2 linked regions of the Lonchura striata genome follow. Each later gene encodes a partner of the first gene's protein in a complex. Links are inferred from orthologs where the notes say so. Each region holds a gene or a part of one and is shown on either strand. Other genes may lie near its edges. The genes, in order: KCNJ4 and TAX1BP3.

Region 1 (8,112 bases):
GTGAGGGGCAGACCCACTGCCATGGTGGCAGGGGCGTGGGCAGAGCGGCAGCAGGAGCCCCTGGCTGGCGGCGTGGGGAGGTGCCGGGCTGGAGTACCTTGTTCTCCACCCTCCAGTCTCTGATTTCCAGTGAGAGCAGCAGTGGTGCTGCTGTGCCAGCATGGCTGGTGCCAGGAGATGGTGGGCATCTCCTTCCCAGATAGACCAGTGAGTGAATGACAAAACTGTCCCTGGAGCAAGCTGCCTGCTGCCAGGCTCCCAGGAGGACAGGCGTGGAGGTGCATGAGTCTCTGGGGCCACGGGGACAGGGTCACATTGCAGACAACTCCCATCCCTCAGCAGCCCGTGCCACGACACCACCTTCACTGCTGCAGAACAAGCCTCAGAGGTCTGAGGGCGAGAACCAGCTCAAAAGCAGCTCTTGCCTGTCCCAAGCCCCTCTCTGCCAGAGAATCAGTATCTCTCCCAAGAAGGGGCTCCAATCCCAGCCATCACCATTAAAACCACCTTGTCTGGCGAGCAAAACCGGTGCCGGTGGCTCTGGGGGTTCCCTGTGAGGTCTCTCCGCCCTGGTAAGGGGCACAGGAGCAGTGACGTCAAGGAGCAGGAATTTAGCCTGACTCAGTTTCGCAGCGTTGCGAGGCAAGCGCAGACGGCTCCAGTCGGCCCGTGCCATTCACAGGAAAGCGAGCGGCAGCGGGAGGCTGGGAGCCGCGTGGATGAGTAAGAGATCGATTGCTGAGACGCCAGCATCCATCTATCGATCCCTGGCCGCAGTGCCGGGTTAAGCCAGCCCAGTGCAATAACGAGGCGGGATAGCGGGGCTTGCTGGGGGCACGGGGCCATTAACTGCTCCGCTCGGCGTCCGCACTGATGGCAGCGTGCGGCGGGCACAGGTATCCATCACCGCGCCTCCTGTCACTGACACCACCCCAGGGATGCAGCTGCTTCCCGGGCGTGGCCGGTGGCTGAGCTTGGGGTGGCCGAGAAGCTGGAGGGGCCAGTGGGGATTGGTCCTGCCAAGAAACTCCATCCCTCCCCAGCCACCTCCTGGCTTTCCTTGAAAACCATGGCGGGGGACTGCAAGGGACAAGGACCACTGCCTGCCCCCTGCCAGCACCACACATCAGGGCACTTGATCTGAGCACTTTGATCCCCAAACGGGGAGAGATGGAAGAAAAAAATGGTGGAGGAGAGGGAACCCGCTTCCCTCCAGATCAGCCCTCTCCAGCTTATCCTTTGTGTCCATCCTCACCTTTTGTCCTCTTCCCCACCACTCCCTGTCCCCAGCAGATTCATGCTTCCCACTAAAGCACAATTTGCCCTGTATTGATTACTATTTTCAGTGTCTGCAAACAGGAGTGGCCACACACTGCCAGGGTGTCTCAGGCTTCTGTGGGTGCCACTTCTGGTGGTGGATGGAGAAGGGACACATTCCCATGTCTCTGTCAAGATGTATTCCCCATGCACCTTCCTGATCCCGCCCAGGCCCCGGATAACCCCAAGCCCTGGGCTCATCTCCACACCTCCCATCTCCTGTGGATGACTCCCCCCAAGCAGCCAAGGAGGGCACAGAGCAGGGATTGAAGGTAGCCTTGGAGCTGTGTCACCTCTGCCATGAGTTTCTGTCACTCTCTGCCCTTCACAGCACACCCCCAAGGGGAGCAAGGGGAGAAGGGAGAGGCCCCAGAGATGCTGTTTGCTTTGCCATCAATGGAGTCAGGGCTGGGCTGCAGGGATAGGAAGCGCCAGGCTCTTGCCAAAAGGATTTGGATGACTCCAGGCTATTTGCCCAGGAGGGAGGGCCTTGGGGGCTGATGGGCCAGGGATGTCCGGGGTGATCTGCCAGCACCATGCAAACCTGCCTGCCCACTCCTGTCCTGGTGGGGAAGCCGACCTTCTGAACAGGGAGCAAAGGCAGAGTTTTCCTGGTAGTTTGCTCCTGGCTTCCTCCTGAGCTCCTTCACCCAAAGCCACTATCCAGAAGACCCTTTGCACCATGCCTGTCTGGGGGGTGTTGGACCACCACTGGCATGATCAGCCTTGCTGGGACTAGGAGAGGTGGACGGCAATGGAGAGGGGGACAGATCTGAAGCCCAAAAAGCTCCACAAGCAGCAGGAAAACAAACACATCCACTTCAGCCCCATTTGCACCCGAGAGCCTGAAGAGCAGGCCTCCAGCTGCCTCCTTCTGTGTGAACTGGCTGGGACCAGCACAGAGAAGAGTCTACAGAGCAGGAGAAGTAAAAGGTGAGCAAGATCCAGCCCAGGGCGAGAAGACACTAAGAAAACACGGGGAACTGAAAAAATGAAGAAGTTACCTACAAAGGGACCGAAGTTAGGGTGGCGAGAGGGCGGGGAGGGAAGTTGGGGAGGTTTAGAGGCAGGAGCCCACCCCTGCCCCTCGGCCCGTGGCCGCCCCGGTAGCTGTGCGTGCATACGCCATGCACACAAGGCAACTTTATTATTCACTGGCACGCTCACACGAAGCCACGCATCTCTCCCCAAGTTATATTTATAGCTGTTCCTCAGAGCGAACGCTAATGAAACAATACATTATTTTCCGAAGGGAGAAAAACCCTTCGCGCTCTCATGCCGGTGCGGAGAGCAGCGCGCCCCGGCACCGCCTCTTACCCGGGTCCTGCCGAGGGCTGCCGCCTGCTCCAGCCGTGCCGAGCCAACATCAGAGGAAGGGAAAAGCGCCCGGTCTTTCCATCTCACCACGAAATGTCTCAGCCGGACCGGAGGAATCAGGGGAGTCTCTCTGCAGTCCTCGCTCGCCTCCAGCCTAGGTTTATTTTTTTCCCCTCCGAAGAGCTACTTCTCCGCTGCGACCTGCTCCTCTCCTAACTCTGCCCTGCCCACGCCAGCGCTCTCCTTCTGCCTCTGCCTCTCAGAATTTTTTGCTCCCAGGAGCGTCCATCCCACGGAGTGCTGATGTGCCTTCGTGGCTCAGCGACGGGTTTAGGTCTCCCCCTCCTGCCTGGCTCCCTCCTTCTCTGGCATGATTTGCCCGTGCCCCTTGCTGCCCCCCTGCTCTAGTCCCCAGATCCCCCCTCTCCCTGACACTCTTCCTCCCTTTGCGCTCCGCTCCCTTTCCCTGGCTGCCTCTCCCCCTCGCTGATTGCTATGCAGTCTGTAGCTGAGAAGTCAGTAACTCTGTGGTAGGATCCAACAGCTTTCCGCTACTTTAGCCCATCCTCGCGTGTGAGCTCAGAGCTGCGGAGCCGCCATGGGGGAGACAGAGCGACCATCCCCAGCGGGAAGGGGATGGTGGGGCCGCCAGAGAGGTGAATCCTCCTCCTGGGCGGCTGCACAGAGATTAAATAACTACCGTCAGAGGGCTTTTTCCCACCTGGATTTGGGGTGCTGGGCTGACACCTAGCCCCGAGGAAGGACCAGGCTCTCCCAGCTGATGCTGTTTGCTGTGGGGCATTGCTTCCCCACGCTACAGAGCTGGTGATTTCCTGCCGGGAAGAGTAATGCTGGGACAGGAGCTGGACACGGAGGGACTAGACCTCAGGGCTCCAGGATAGTGCACAGCCATCCTGCTGGGAAACCTGTCCAAGAAACCTCTCTTGGGTCTCCACGGCCAGCAGCATCTCAGAGGCTTTAAAAAGGTCACTTCTTGGTGACAAGGAGAGATTTTGCAGCAAAAACAGAGGCTGAAGAGACTCCTGACTACACAGGCAGTGGCTGTAGGCACAGGATCCTGGGGACAGCCCTGTTCCAGAACAGCATTTTTGAGGACATGGTTTCTGTCTTGGTGCCTCATATGCTGTCCGCAGTGTTAAGGCCTGTGCTGAAAAGTCAAAAAATATTTAAAAACCCATTTTTTGAGTCTCCTCTGGGTCCCAATCCTGCAAGGACTATGACCCTCCCTCCCAAAACCCTCCCAAGGTGTGGCATATAGGATGACCCCTGCACAACATGCTGTGGAGCCTGCTGTGCCCTGCCAGCACCAGTGAACACTGCGGTGGTGAGCACAGCCTGTTCCCACCTGGCAAAGCCACTGCCGGGGCAGCAGAGGGTGCTGGGGTGGGTTTAGTAGCTCCATGCAGATGAGCAGCTGCAAACCAGGAGCACATCAGCCTGCTGAATGGGTCAGTTCACCCCAGTGCACCCATGGCTGCTCCCTACTGCTCCTGGGGAGCTGCTGCACCTGGATGCAGCAGAGCCAGCCCATCCACTCCCTCTGCAGCCATCCCTATGAGGACCTCATTCAGGTTCAGAGGGTACGTATTTTCCCAAAAGCTTTGTCTCTAGGACCTGTTTTGGGGCTGCTTCCCTAGAGCTACTGACCAGTATCTGCCCAGCTGCTCTTTGGCAGAGTGCACCATCCCTCTGGCACCACAGCAGGCCTTTCCTCTTCATGTGGTAAAGGGATGAAGATGGGCCTGAGACATCTTGCTCCTTCCCAGAGCGGGCAAAGCCAAGTGCAGCCCTGTGACCGCCTCAGCCTCAAGTGGGGTGTCTCCCTCTCTGCCTTTTGCTCCTTACTGCTGGCTCCCTCTGAGGCCTCACCACATTTCCCTCTGCCTTTGCAGCAGGAGGGTAGATAGCTGCACCTTGTGCATGGTGTGGCAGCCTGACACTGCCAAGAGACAAGTGGCCCTTCCAGAGGCAGCGAGAGGGGCATGGGGACGCCACATTGGAGATGTCACCGGCCCCTTGCTGTCCTTGTGCCCCCCAAGTGCCATGCCCTGACCGCCCCATGGCCGCCGGCCCCAGCAGCGGGGTGGCTCACACTCGCCGCCCCCGCCCGTCTCCACCAGCACCGTCTTTAATAAGAAGTGTGGAATATTTTAGCACCTATGTAAAAACCACCACAGACGGTGGTGGCAGCCGTTGCCAGGGAGACGCTCCCAAAAATAGCCCCACTCCGCCAACCTTTCCCAGTGCCACTGTGGGGATTGAGGGAGGCAGAGGGATGGAGGGATGGAGGGATGGAAGGGTGGAACGAGGGACGGATAAAGGGATGGAGGGATGGAGGGAAAGAGTGCCATACAGATGGACAGAGGAATCTTTGGAGGGATGAATGGAGAGAGGAGGAGTGAGGGGTGGTTGAAAAGATGGAGGGAAGAATGGATAGAGAGAGAAAGGGATGAGAGGGATGGCTGGAGATGGATGGAGAGATGGGTACAGTGGAAAGCAAGAGCTCCTGGGAAGGTGAGAAAACACTGCCTGCCTCTTCTCCTGCCTGGGCATCAAGAGACGAGCAACCTGTATGACAGCAGCCCCTACTTGGACACCCGTGGTCCTGCACTCCTGTAATACCAGCTAAGCCAGCACAAACCGTCAAGCCTTCTCTGTGTTGAGCAGGTCTGACTTTGGGTGTTTAAACCAGAGAGCAAAATTCTGGGCTCCTTAGCACCTGCCGTGTTCCGTCTGCAATCTTCCACCGACCATCCTATCTCTGTCTGTCTGTCCCCAGCATTCCAGAACTGCCCAGCCAACCTGATCTGGTCATGGGGGCAGAGATGGTGAGACACAGAGGTGACCCATGGTGCTCAACCCCACCGTGTTCCCCAGCCCCTCTGGGAATGCAGAATCATTGCCCTCTCTTAGACAAATCCTTGAGACTGCCCACTCTCCCAGAAGGTCTGGATGTAGCCTGATCTACATCCTGCAGCAGAATTGGAGGGAGACACCTGGAGAACCACCAGGGGCAAAAGCAGAGAAGCCTTTTTGATAGAAGGAAACATTTGTTTTAGTGATTAGGAAATGCCCTTTTGTCCCTCTTCTCATCCCACAGCCATCACCTCATAGGCAGAGGTGGAGAAGGGCCCTGAATTAAGCTGCTGCTCTCTGGCCCAGTGGCTCTGCAGGAGGAGCCTTCCAGACCAGCAGAGGCAGAGGGAAACCCCAAAAATAGAACTAAAGGAGGAGGGATTGGGGGGGGGGGGGAGAGAGAGAGAGAAAAATAAACCAAACAACCCCAAAATCTCATTTTTAATATCAAATCCCAGCTCACTTTCCTCCTTGTCACCCTGGCGACATTCCTTGTGGTCACCATGGAAACGGGAGGCATGGAGAGAGCATCACCATGCGGGGTGGTGGCAGCACCCGGCATTATTTTGGGAGGCAGGGAGACACCCGGCGCAAGGAACTTGGCATTGTGGCAGGGCAGGAGGAGGGAAGGTTTATTTTTACTTGGTCCCACTCCATGTGCCAGTTTTGTCTCTAAGAGCCTGGGTGTCCCTTGCACTGCAGCAGCTTTCCTATGGCCCCCATGTACCACACAGGGATGGTGTTCCATGGGGACACCCCAGCCTTACCACCCTGTTCCAGCTGGGTGGGCTTGATTGGGCTGCTCCCATGAAGTCCCTCTAATGGTCACCTCAGCTGGTGGTTCCAGGTGCCAGAGTGGGAGATAATGCTGGGAGTTGGGCCCATCAGCTCTTCTTGGGAAGGTGCAAGATGAGGAGAATAAACCTTTGCCTTTCTCTGGAGGGGACTTCTTTCCTTGGGTGGGACAAGAAGCTGCAAAGAGGAGTGCAGGGACAAGAGAAAGACAAAGGCTCTCAGACATTGCACACCAGGGGGTTGGAAGGGGATTTCTTGGAAGAAAGGACTCCAAATCTGTTCCTTCCCCCCAACTTTACATCCCTGCTCCATGGATCAAAACTCTGCCTACCTGCAAAAGGACCTGGGGTACCAGGGACCTGCAGGGCCACCAGGGCTGGGGCTTGGCTTTTACCAGCACCCACATGGCCTTGTGAAGCCCTGCTGAAATCCCAGGCAGCTCCACTCTGATGTCTGGAAACCCAATTCAGGCAGTCCTTGCCCTTTGCCAATCGTCTCTTTTGCTCTAACCCACCCTTGACCCACCGCAGCAACCCCTGCCTCAGTGCCCTGGCTGGGAACAGGCAGGGACGTCTCCAGTTCCGTGGGGCTGAGCAGGTGTTTTCCAACCCGGCCTGTGAATCCATCTGGAAAAGCCCTGTGATGCAGGTGCTGGAGCGTCAGAGAGGGAAAACACAACCGCCAACCTAATGGGCAGGGAGGAAATGTATGCAAATATATTCAGAAAGGGAGCCGGTGATGCTAATAGGCTTGTTAATCCTCTCGGAAAGCACCAGGAATAATATTTTTACACTTTGGTCGTTAAGCATTTTACTCCAAGCAAGCCCATAAGGAGAGAGAGACATGCGTAGAGGATGGCCAAAAGTCATGGCTGGGGACAGGGAGGGCAGCAGCCAGAGCCAACTTTGGGACAGGAGCAGGCAGGATCACACAATCCAAGGGTAACCAAATTAGACCCGTGGCCAGATGCGATTTGCTCAGGGCAAGGCGACAAATTACAACTTCCATTTGGTTGTACTAAAGCAGCTTTGAATTAGTGATTAGCTATTGACTACCTAATTGCTGGATCTTGATGCAGAGGTCTCTCTGCTGCTGCCATGAGATCTCCCTGTGTAACTGCTGCTCCGAGGACAAGGTTCATCCAAAACAAGCTGGTCACCCGGCTTAATATATTTTCAAATATATTAAAACTTTCTAACATTCACTACTGAGCTCTTTTCTGTGAAATCTATAAAACCAGCAGCAACCACATGCTTCTTTCACTCAACAAATTCCCTACATTTTTTGTAACCCTCTGGAATCCAGGATTTCCTTCTAAGAATCCAGGATTAATATTTTCAGTGAAGTTTGTTTCAAACCAGCCCTTGGGAGAATATTTTCTTTCTCCATGGCTGTGCTCAGGGATCCACTCTGCTCCAGATAGGGCATCTGAAGGAAGGGGTGTCTGGTAGGGCAGACACCAGGGAATGGCTGTCGCTGTGGAAGAGCTGCAATGGGTTGATAATTCAAATATCTCTCCACTTCTTCTTTGGCTGCAGGAGCCAAGGTGGAGCACTGGTGAGAAGGTGCTGCAGGTGGGATGGGGCCGGTAAGGGCAGAGAGCAGAAGGCTGGAAGCAGCACAGAGGTTACTGCACCCGTGGCGAATATTCCTGGAAAGTCTGGCCCTCGCCGGAGGGTGTGTCCTCAAGGCCAGAGGATGGGAATCCTCTTCCCTCTGCCTTTTCCCCTTTAACCACACTTCCGTGTGTAACTTGAGACAAGCAGGGAAGAAAAAATAGGAAGGGGAAAAAAAAAAAGAAAGGGA
Region 2 (7,996 bases), on another chromosome or scaffold:
AAACTCAATTCAGCTGATGGTACAAACTGGGAGTAAGGAGAATTCAGGTTTTACCCTGCCAGTGAGGTTGAACTGTAGTGTCCATTAAATTGTAGTGTACTTCACAGGCATTGATCTAACACTTGTTTGTTACTCAGCTGTTTCTTGCCTCAAGAGGCTGCTTTGTCCAGGGAATCTTTGCAGGAAACTGTAATGCCCCAAACCTTTCAGCCACTCTCTATCTTGCACACAGTGAAGGATTAGTACAGTGCTCCTCCCCACAGCACTGTGCAGCTCTTAACTCTGGCATATGAATTTGGTAGCAATGTGGGGGACAGGACAGCTCCCTTCTAAAAGCTTAGGCACAGCAAACCCTCTGGTCTCCCATAGCAGAAACCACATTTCCTCCTAAAATAGGAGGCTTTTGTGCTACAGAAGAATCCTGTCCAAGTTAAGGCTTTTCCAGTTGCTCTTAGATAACTTGGGTCTGTCCTGTCCTGAAAGTCATGACTACAGAAGTCTTGCCATGTACCTGCAGGGCAGACTTTAGAGAAGCACTCTGCTGAGGGGAGTATTGTTTTACTACTGCCAGTTACACCAGAAGAAGTTAAAATAAAAAAGTAGTGTTTACCACAGGTAGGAACATGCACTCCTTCCAGACAACCTGTTCCAGTCTAATAGTTGCTTCTTTCTTTGATAGCAGTCTATACATCTCCCTTCCCACCCCCTCCCCAGCTGGATGATGGATTAGGACATCATGGATTGCTGCACAGCCTTCTGCAGGGACTGCCTGGTCACCAGCAGCCGTACCACCTCCTCATTCCTTTTGGTCAGCCTCTTCCTGGCCTGGTCATGGGTCACCATTGTCATATCCCAGCCATTCACCTGGGAAAAAAAAAAACATAAAATAAGGCAAATGCAAGGACTCACAGGTGTCCTGTAACTGTTCTATCAGAACCATGTAGTGGATATGGTTTTATGCCACAGCTCAGTTTATTTATAAACCCTACAAACTGTCCTGGTAAGTACCCAGAAGATTATTTTCCCCAGCAGATGCTTCTCTGCAGGGTGCAGCTGGTACTACATCACTACTGTCTTATCTTGGTGCTTACCTGCATGATCTTATCTCCAATCTGGAGTCCTGCAACTTCTGCCGGGCCTCCCTGTGTCACCCTTGTTACGTAGATACCCTGGGAAAAAATTAGTGCTCATTTACTAAATGTGGAAGGATTCAGTATTCAAGGGCCATTTGATTGACAACACAGAAAAACTCTAGTGTATTATGAGATTTTAGTTAAAAACAGGCTCATGCAATGTTGGAAAATAGAAAAGGTGTAGAAGTCACTTGAATAACTGGATCTACAAGTGATAATGGGGCAAGAGAGTAGCTGTGGTAGAGGGCAGATGATGACTTGGGTCAGCCTTTGGGAGAGGGACTTGCTACAGAAAAAGATTATCTGACCTTGTCAGTCTTATCTTCAGAGAAAGGATTCTGAGTAGGGTCCTGATCAATGCCACCCCCAATGCTGAATCCCAGAATTAAATTGTCACCTTGACGAAGCTTATGTATTTCAATTCTTTGCTGGAAAGAGAAAGAGATCAAATAGCTGAGCATTGTGACAAGTGGAAGAAATCTCAAGTGCATTTCAGACGCTGATAATTCAGATCCAGTTAGACTGTTTTTCACAGAGATCCCACGACACAGCCCAGCCCCTCAATTACTCAGAGCTGTCCTGCCTGCCCAGGAATAGAAGGGAACAACACTAAAACCAGAGCAGGTCTCTTTAAACATGACTCATGCCTTGATAACCAGCAGTTACTCATGACCAGCCTCATCTTGCTCATTATCCACATGCCTTATGTTCCTGCTAGTCCTATCAGCAGAAATAACAACCTATTATTAGGATGGCTCTTTTTCAGGATAACTTTTGTAACCCGGGGCAGGTTCCTCACTGCCTGATGCACAGAGGCATCTGACCAGCTTTGTGCATTATGTCAGCATTGTAGAAATGCCAGCTGGTGCAATTAATTCCTGAGCCAGGGTGAAAAGCCACGGTCTTAACTGACACAGCAACCTCTCGAAAAGTGCTACGACCCTATCTAATGGAAGATGTTCCTGCTCATTGCAGGGGATTGGATGAGATTACCTTCATGGGTGCCTTCCAACCCAAACCACTCTGTGATTCTCCTCTCATGGCCCTGTCACACAGACCCTGAACTTCCCCACTGAATTCCAAACTCCCTGGATTCCAAACATCGGAGCCATCCACGCAAGCACAACCCCAGTTACCGCTGCAGGCAGAGGAAAGCACAAATCCCTCACTCGCACTTCGTGCTGATTAAAGCCATTATCTCCCTTTAAAAGCTCTGCTTCCTAACCCCACCCAGACACGCAGGTGCTTATCCTGCTCTGCCCTCGCAGAGGGGGATCCGCACCGAGATTGGGCTCGGCTGCCGCGGGGTCCCGGTACCGGGAGAACGCGTGTCTCTCGCTCCCTCTTCTCTAAAGCAACGCCCGAGCATCCCCGGCCGGGGGTCGGTCCCTCCGCCCGGCGGAGTTTCCGCTCTGTTCTCCCAGCCGCTATCCCGGACGGAGAATCTGACAGCCCACGCAGCGGGGAGCGGCTGCGGGGCGGCAACCGGGGCCGGCGGCGCTGCGGACAGAGCGGCCGCGGAGCGGGGCTGCCCGGGGACCTCCACCCTCCGACTGCCGGGCACCGGCACCGTCACCCGTGTGCCGTGCCTAACCCCGCAGCCTTCGCCCGCTCCTTCCCCGCACCCGCGAACCGGAGCTGCCCCGGGGCGGCACCTCCGCCCGTGACAGCGCGCAGGGCGCTGCCGGGCACCACCCGCATCCACCTCTCCATCCCCGCCAGCAGCCGCCACCTCGGCACGGTATCCCCGGGATAATGGTGACCGGCTGGGCCGGTAGGAACGCCGTGCCCGCCCCTCCCGTGCCCACTCACCACCACGGCGGTGACCGGCTGCCCCGGTACGAACGCCATGTCCGCCCCGCCACCGCCGCCGCCCGAACAAAAGCGCCTCGCCCGGCCCCGCCTCCCGCTCCCCGCCAGCCAATCCGACCCCGCCCTTCGCTCCCCGCCAGCCAATCCGACCCCGCCCTTCGCTCCCCGCCAGCCAATCCGACCCCGCCCTTCGCTCCCCGCCAGCCAATCCGACCCCGCCCTTCGCTCCCCGCCAGCCAATCCGACCCCGCCCTTCGCTCCCCGCCAGCCAATCCGCAGCCGCCCCGCCCACGGCGCGCCGCCCGCGCGGCCGCGTCCCGTCGGCCCCCAAGGCAAGATGGCGGCCGGGCGGTGGCGGCGGCGCGGTCGGGGCGGGCCGGGCCCGGCGGGCGGCCCGCGGTGACGGGCGCTGAGCGGGGTCCCTCGGCGCGGTGCGAGGCCTGACGGAGCGGCGGGGCTGGGCGCCGCCGTGGATGAGAGGTACGGAGGAAGGGGAGGGGCGGCGGGAGGGCCCGCGGGGCTCTCCCGGCGGCCTGAGGGCGGGCGGGCTCGTACAGCGCGTTTGCTTCACCTCAGTGTCGGTGCGAGCGAGGAGCTGCCCGAGCCCGGCGCGGAGCCATGGCCGCCGTGGTGGCCAAGCGCGAGGGGCCGCAGTTCATCAGCGAGGCGGCGGTGCGGGGCAACGCGGCCATCCTGGACTATTGCCGCACCTCGGTGTCCGCCCTGTCGGGCGCCACGGCCGGCATCCTCGGCCTCACCGGCCTGCACGGCTTCATCTTCTACTTCCTGGCCTCCGTCCTCCTCTCCGTGCTGCTGGTGCTGAAAGCCGGGCGGCGGTGGAACAAGTACTTCAAGTCGCGGAGGCCGCTGTTCACGGGGGGGCTGGTGGGAGGGCTCTTCACCTACGTCCTGTTCTGGACTTTCCTGTACGGAATGGTTCACGTGTACTGAGCAGCTCCGCGGCGGACGGAGCGGCGGGACTGTTGCCAAAAGTCACTACACCATAGGCCGGCTCACTTTCCACACTGTTGTCCGTGGCTCGTGTCGTTAATGCTGTTGGTAAATTATGTCCAAGTACAAATTAATCAGTAGCACTGTTCTATTAAAACTGAATGTGAAGCACCGCTTGGATGCCTCCTTGTTTCCTTGTTAGGGGGTAATTTCTGTCCCTAAGAGCAGGCACAGCTGTGGGGTTTGATTGATATATTCCCTGGATACACACACCAGTTACAATCCCCTCTGGATGTGCTGCCTGTCCCTACACACAAACATTACAGCAGTAACACGGCAACCTGAAATAATTAAATTACTTAAAAATAATTTTGCTGACAAAAGGAAATAACTAAGTGGATGTAAAGGTTTGGCACAGAAACATACATGCAAATGCTCTCTTCCCTGACTGCCATCAGTAAATGGCACTGTCACTGGTCTCTAGAACAGCCACAATAGGGGATAATTCCATCACGCACCATCCAGGTAATGCCTTTCCTATAGCCCTGTTCTGTGAAAATAAGTGATTCATCAATGTGCTCACATCACTATCACCAGGAGAAGGTGGTGTGACCTGAAAAAACACTTACAGAACACTCCCAGGGAGCACTGGCCTGAAGTGACACATTTTATTGCTGAACAAGAAACACAAGGAGAAAAAAAAAGTCAAAGTCAAGAAACAAGTCCTGAGAAGGACTCTGGTTATGTTTTATTAACAGCAGGGCTTGTAGGAGTTGTGTTACAGAGTCTAAAGAAAGGAAACACTCTAGGGGATCTGGGGGGCCTGGAGACTTAGATTCAGGAAATAGCTTTGGTCATCTCACAGGAGGATGTTTTGGCAAGTTAAAACAATGGTTTCAGCAGAGCACAGTCAGCTCTGCACATCAGGAGGAGCTGCTTGGGTGCCAGGAGTTGTGCCAGGCCCTGATGTCACATGGGGGGGTTCTTCATGTGTTTCACCATCTAGAAATTACACAACTTCTAGATGGTGAAACACAGAGTTTTAATTAACCCTAACAGTCAAAAGCCTGGTGGTAACTCTTGTGCAGTTCCCCACATGGTGACTTGTGTTTGCCTTGAAGAGAGACTTCTGACATGGAGAGAAGGTTTTGGATGAGATCAGAGCACCAAAGGTATACAGCTTAACCTAAATGAACTCCACTGTTTAATTCTATTTTCTAGCCCCATTTTTTGCTCGCTACACAGAAGCAGAGGTGGGGACCTAGACTGGGTGGGGTTTGCTGTCAGTGGCTGGGTTCAGAGTTTGCCACTGCTAACAGGTGAACTTTAATTTAGGATGAACCTGTACCTCAGAGTAACGACTTTAAATAAGTTACAGCAGAGCTGGGTGCAGCTGCTGGTGCCATTTGTGCAGACGCTCGATGGCAGCAGCTCCCTGATGCCACCCTCAGACACTGCAGAAGGAGCCCTGTAACTTTTGGTATTCAAAGCATGCACAAAAACATTTAATCTTTATCAGGACAGCTCACAGTGGTGATGGGGCAGCATGTACAGAACACAATCATATTCCTTAAGCCCTTTTCTGAGATTATTCACCTCCCCACATGAGATAAATGGACAAAATAGGCTGCAAGGAGACTGATGCTGCTGAGAGACAAGCACTTGTATTTCCTGGAGGTCACTGGTGTTGAAGTAGCAGGCAGATATGTTCTAACTTCCCTGCTGTTGGTGTATTTGGAGGAGGTTGGCCCAGCCCATGTCCCTGGCACAGCTGCCCTTCTCAGTGTGCAGCACAGCCCAGGGTGCTGTGAGAAACAGAGGCACTGAGTGTCCATCCAGCTCTGCCACCACAGAATCAGGCAGTGACACAGCAAGGACAGTCCCGAGCAAATGAAACCAGGCACTGAAGGAAGGAGGCAGAAGCTGTGCAGGTGCTTCCAGGGCCCCCCTGCCTCAGGCCCTGCAGGATCACAGCCCCTTCCCAGCCCCAAGAGCTGCTCCAATGCCACATTTCCCTGCACTTCCTGAGCAGAGCAGTCCTGCTGCTTCACAACGGATGTCACATCACCCAGGCAGGAGCTGGAGGCAGTGGCTGCCAGGGCAGCAGAGCAGGAAACAGGTTGGGTTTCAGCTTCAGCCCTTCCCAAAGTGCTCCCATCACAGCTTTTCTCCACGTGGAAGCAAAGCACAGCCACAGGACAATGCTGGCTACTGGCATAAGTACAGATATATCTATCAGTGGATATAAAAACATTCATTTTTGTGCCTTCTTTGTCCTTTTATAAAAATCCTTTTATAAATCCATAGTGACAACACGTTGCAAGCTCAGGCTACCAGAGAAATCTCTGGGAAGAAAGACAGTCTTTAAAGAAGGTTTTGTCCTCTGGGAATCCTGATCATAGTAGGCCTGACCTGGGGTACATCCACCTCCCAGTGCTGGTGTGGTGCCACACCAGTGTGGATTTCCTGGAGCAGGAGTCCAGCTGGCAGAGCCACTGCTGTGCCTAGAGCTCGCCGAGCTGCTCTGGGCTCTGATTCCCGTTCAGCGTAGGGCTCGACAAGGACTTCCTGGAGCTGGACCTGGGCAAACAGGCACAAGGACAGGATGAGCAGCCTGGGTTTGTTTCAGGAGGCAAAAATGTTCCCAGCCAGGCCTGTCTCACCTTACCCCAAAAGCCCCTCCACATCTCAGTTTCACGAGGCCATTGCCAGTCCAACCCTGACACAGCAGCTGCCTTTCCTCCCAGCTCATTGCAGCAAGGAATTACAGAGGAAGCCAATAACTTGGCCAAAATAATTTGGAAGAATATATTTCCCTGGAACTGTGCTCCTGTATGTCCTCCTATTTCTATCAGTCTTAACAAAAAGCCATGATTTTTAACACAAAACCAGGCCCACTTACTTGACTTCCTCATACTTTTTGCCTCGATAAAAGTTACTCTTCTTGATCAAATATAGCAGCACCAGGTCACAAAAGAAAGCTCCCTGCAAAGGGAAAAAAACTTGTGGTTTATCTTTGAAAGGAAGAGGAAGTATTCTGAACTCATTAGAAATGAGCATGAATGAAAGGATAACTTGTAGAAACTGTGTTTGCCTTCATTGTCCATGCATTTTCCAGAGTATGTATATGTAATATACAGATTGTGGGGGTGTTTAGACTACTAGGTTTATTAAGAAAGAACCAGGCACTGAAGGAAGGAGGACATAGACACACACCTGGCTGAGTAGTAAAGATTCTGCTGGAGAAGGTTTAAACCCCCCATCCTATTTGGGGTGTGGGTCCCTTGGGGTTACTTTGAGATAAAACATTCACTTACAGCTCCCATGAGTGCCAGCCCCGAGCTGATATTGATAATGGTGGGAATGATGTTAAATTTCCCTGCCTGGAAGAACAAAGGTCATGAAGTCACCACTGAGAGAACAACCCACAAAACAAACTCAAGGGTGTGGTACTGCACTGGGGAAGCTGCTGCTGCCCCTGGGTGCGTTTTGTTCCCAGGCACAACCACAGGGGATTTGCAGTGGAGGCTGAAGGTCTCTGTGTCTTAGATCTGACTGTCCCTAACTGCATTTCTGAGCTTGCATCATCCCTGGATTAGGCTTTTTCTCTCTGCAGTGCTTGCACATGGAAAACAAGCCTCTGGGGCACATTTATTTCTGTTAAGGCTTTACATGAGCCTGGTTTTAAGTAGAGGAGGTGCAGGCTTAGCTGCACTACAGGTGATCTCTCTCACATGGGGATTAGCTCCACATGGATGGATGGGAAAAGCCCTTTCTACAACAAGCCAGAGAGGCTGTCCTCCTCGCAGAGCTGCCTCCCCCCACTTCCTTTCTCTGCAGGCTCTGGGACATCCTGACCTGGCTCTCACCTTGCCATTCACCATCACATCGAAGCGGATTCCGTACGCTTTAATGAGCGTCCGGTAGTCGACCCCCTCAGCATCCCGGTAATACTTGGCAAACCTGGAATACAACAGTGCTGCCTTTAATTCCACCTGCCCCTCTGAAGCCTCTCATCCCTTCAAAGAGATCTGTTCCCTCATCAAAGCCAACTTTAGCCTGCCAGGAGCACTCCCTACCTCCCTCCCTCCTCTGCAGCG

The links.
Region 2: the proteins of KCNJ4 (region 1) and TAX1BP3 are in contact, whole or in part, in a crystal structure (PDB 3GJ9), measured with the Homo sapiens proteins. The link is inferred for Lonchura striata from reciprocal best matches to the Homo sapiens genes KCNJ4 and TAX1BP3. Residues at the interface, in NP_004972.1 of Homo sapiens: Arg440, Arg441, Glu442, Ser443, Ala444, Ile445; in NP_055419.1 of Homo sapiens: Leu27, Ile28, Leu29, Gly30, Phe31, Ser32, Ile33, Gly34, Gly35, Asp38, Gln39, Gln43, Asn44, Thr58, Arg59, His90, Asp91, Arg94, Leu97, Thr98.

Annotation. Positions count from the first base shown.
Region 1 is NC_134607.1:23,762,314-23,770,425, forward strand, and holds the start of KCNJ4 (inward rectifier potassium channel 4), read right to left. Parts: upstream 3,138-8,112; 5' UTR 2,635-3,137; intron 1-2,634. UniProt on the Homo sapiens protein: Inward rectifier potassium channels are characterized by a greater tendency to allow potassium to flow into the cell rather than out of it.
Region 2 is NC_134622.1:8,398,408-8,406,403, reverse strand, and holds the start of TAX1BP3 (tax1-binding protein 3), read right to left. Parts: upstream 3,032-7,996; 5' UTR 2,985-3,031; coding exon 2,946-2,984; intron 1,562-2,945; coding exon 1,442-1,561; intron 1,170-1,441; coding exon 1,092-1,169; intron 865-1,091; coding exon 727-864; 3' UTR 1-726. Other genes in the region: EMC6 (ER membrane protein complex subunit 6), read left to right, coding at 3,564-3,896; P2RX5 (P2X purinoceptor 5), read right to left, coding at 6,401-6,476, 6,799-6,881, 7,214-7,279, 7,766-7,859. UniProt on the Homo sapiens protein: May regulate a number of protein-protein interactions by competing for PDZ domain binding sites. Binds CTNNB1 and may thereby act as an inhibitor of the Wnt signaling pathway. Competes with LIN7A for KCNJ4 binding, and thereby promotes KCNJ4 internalization.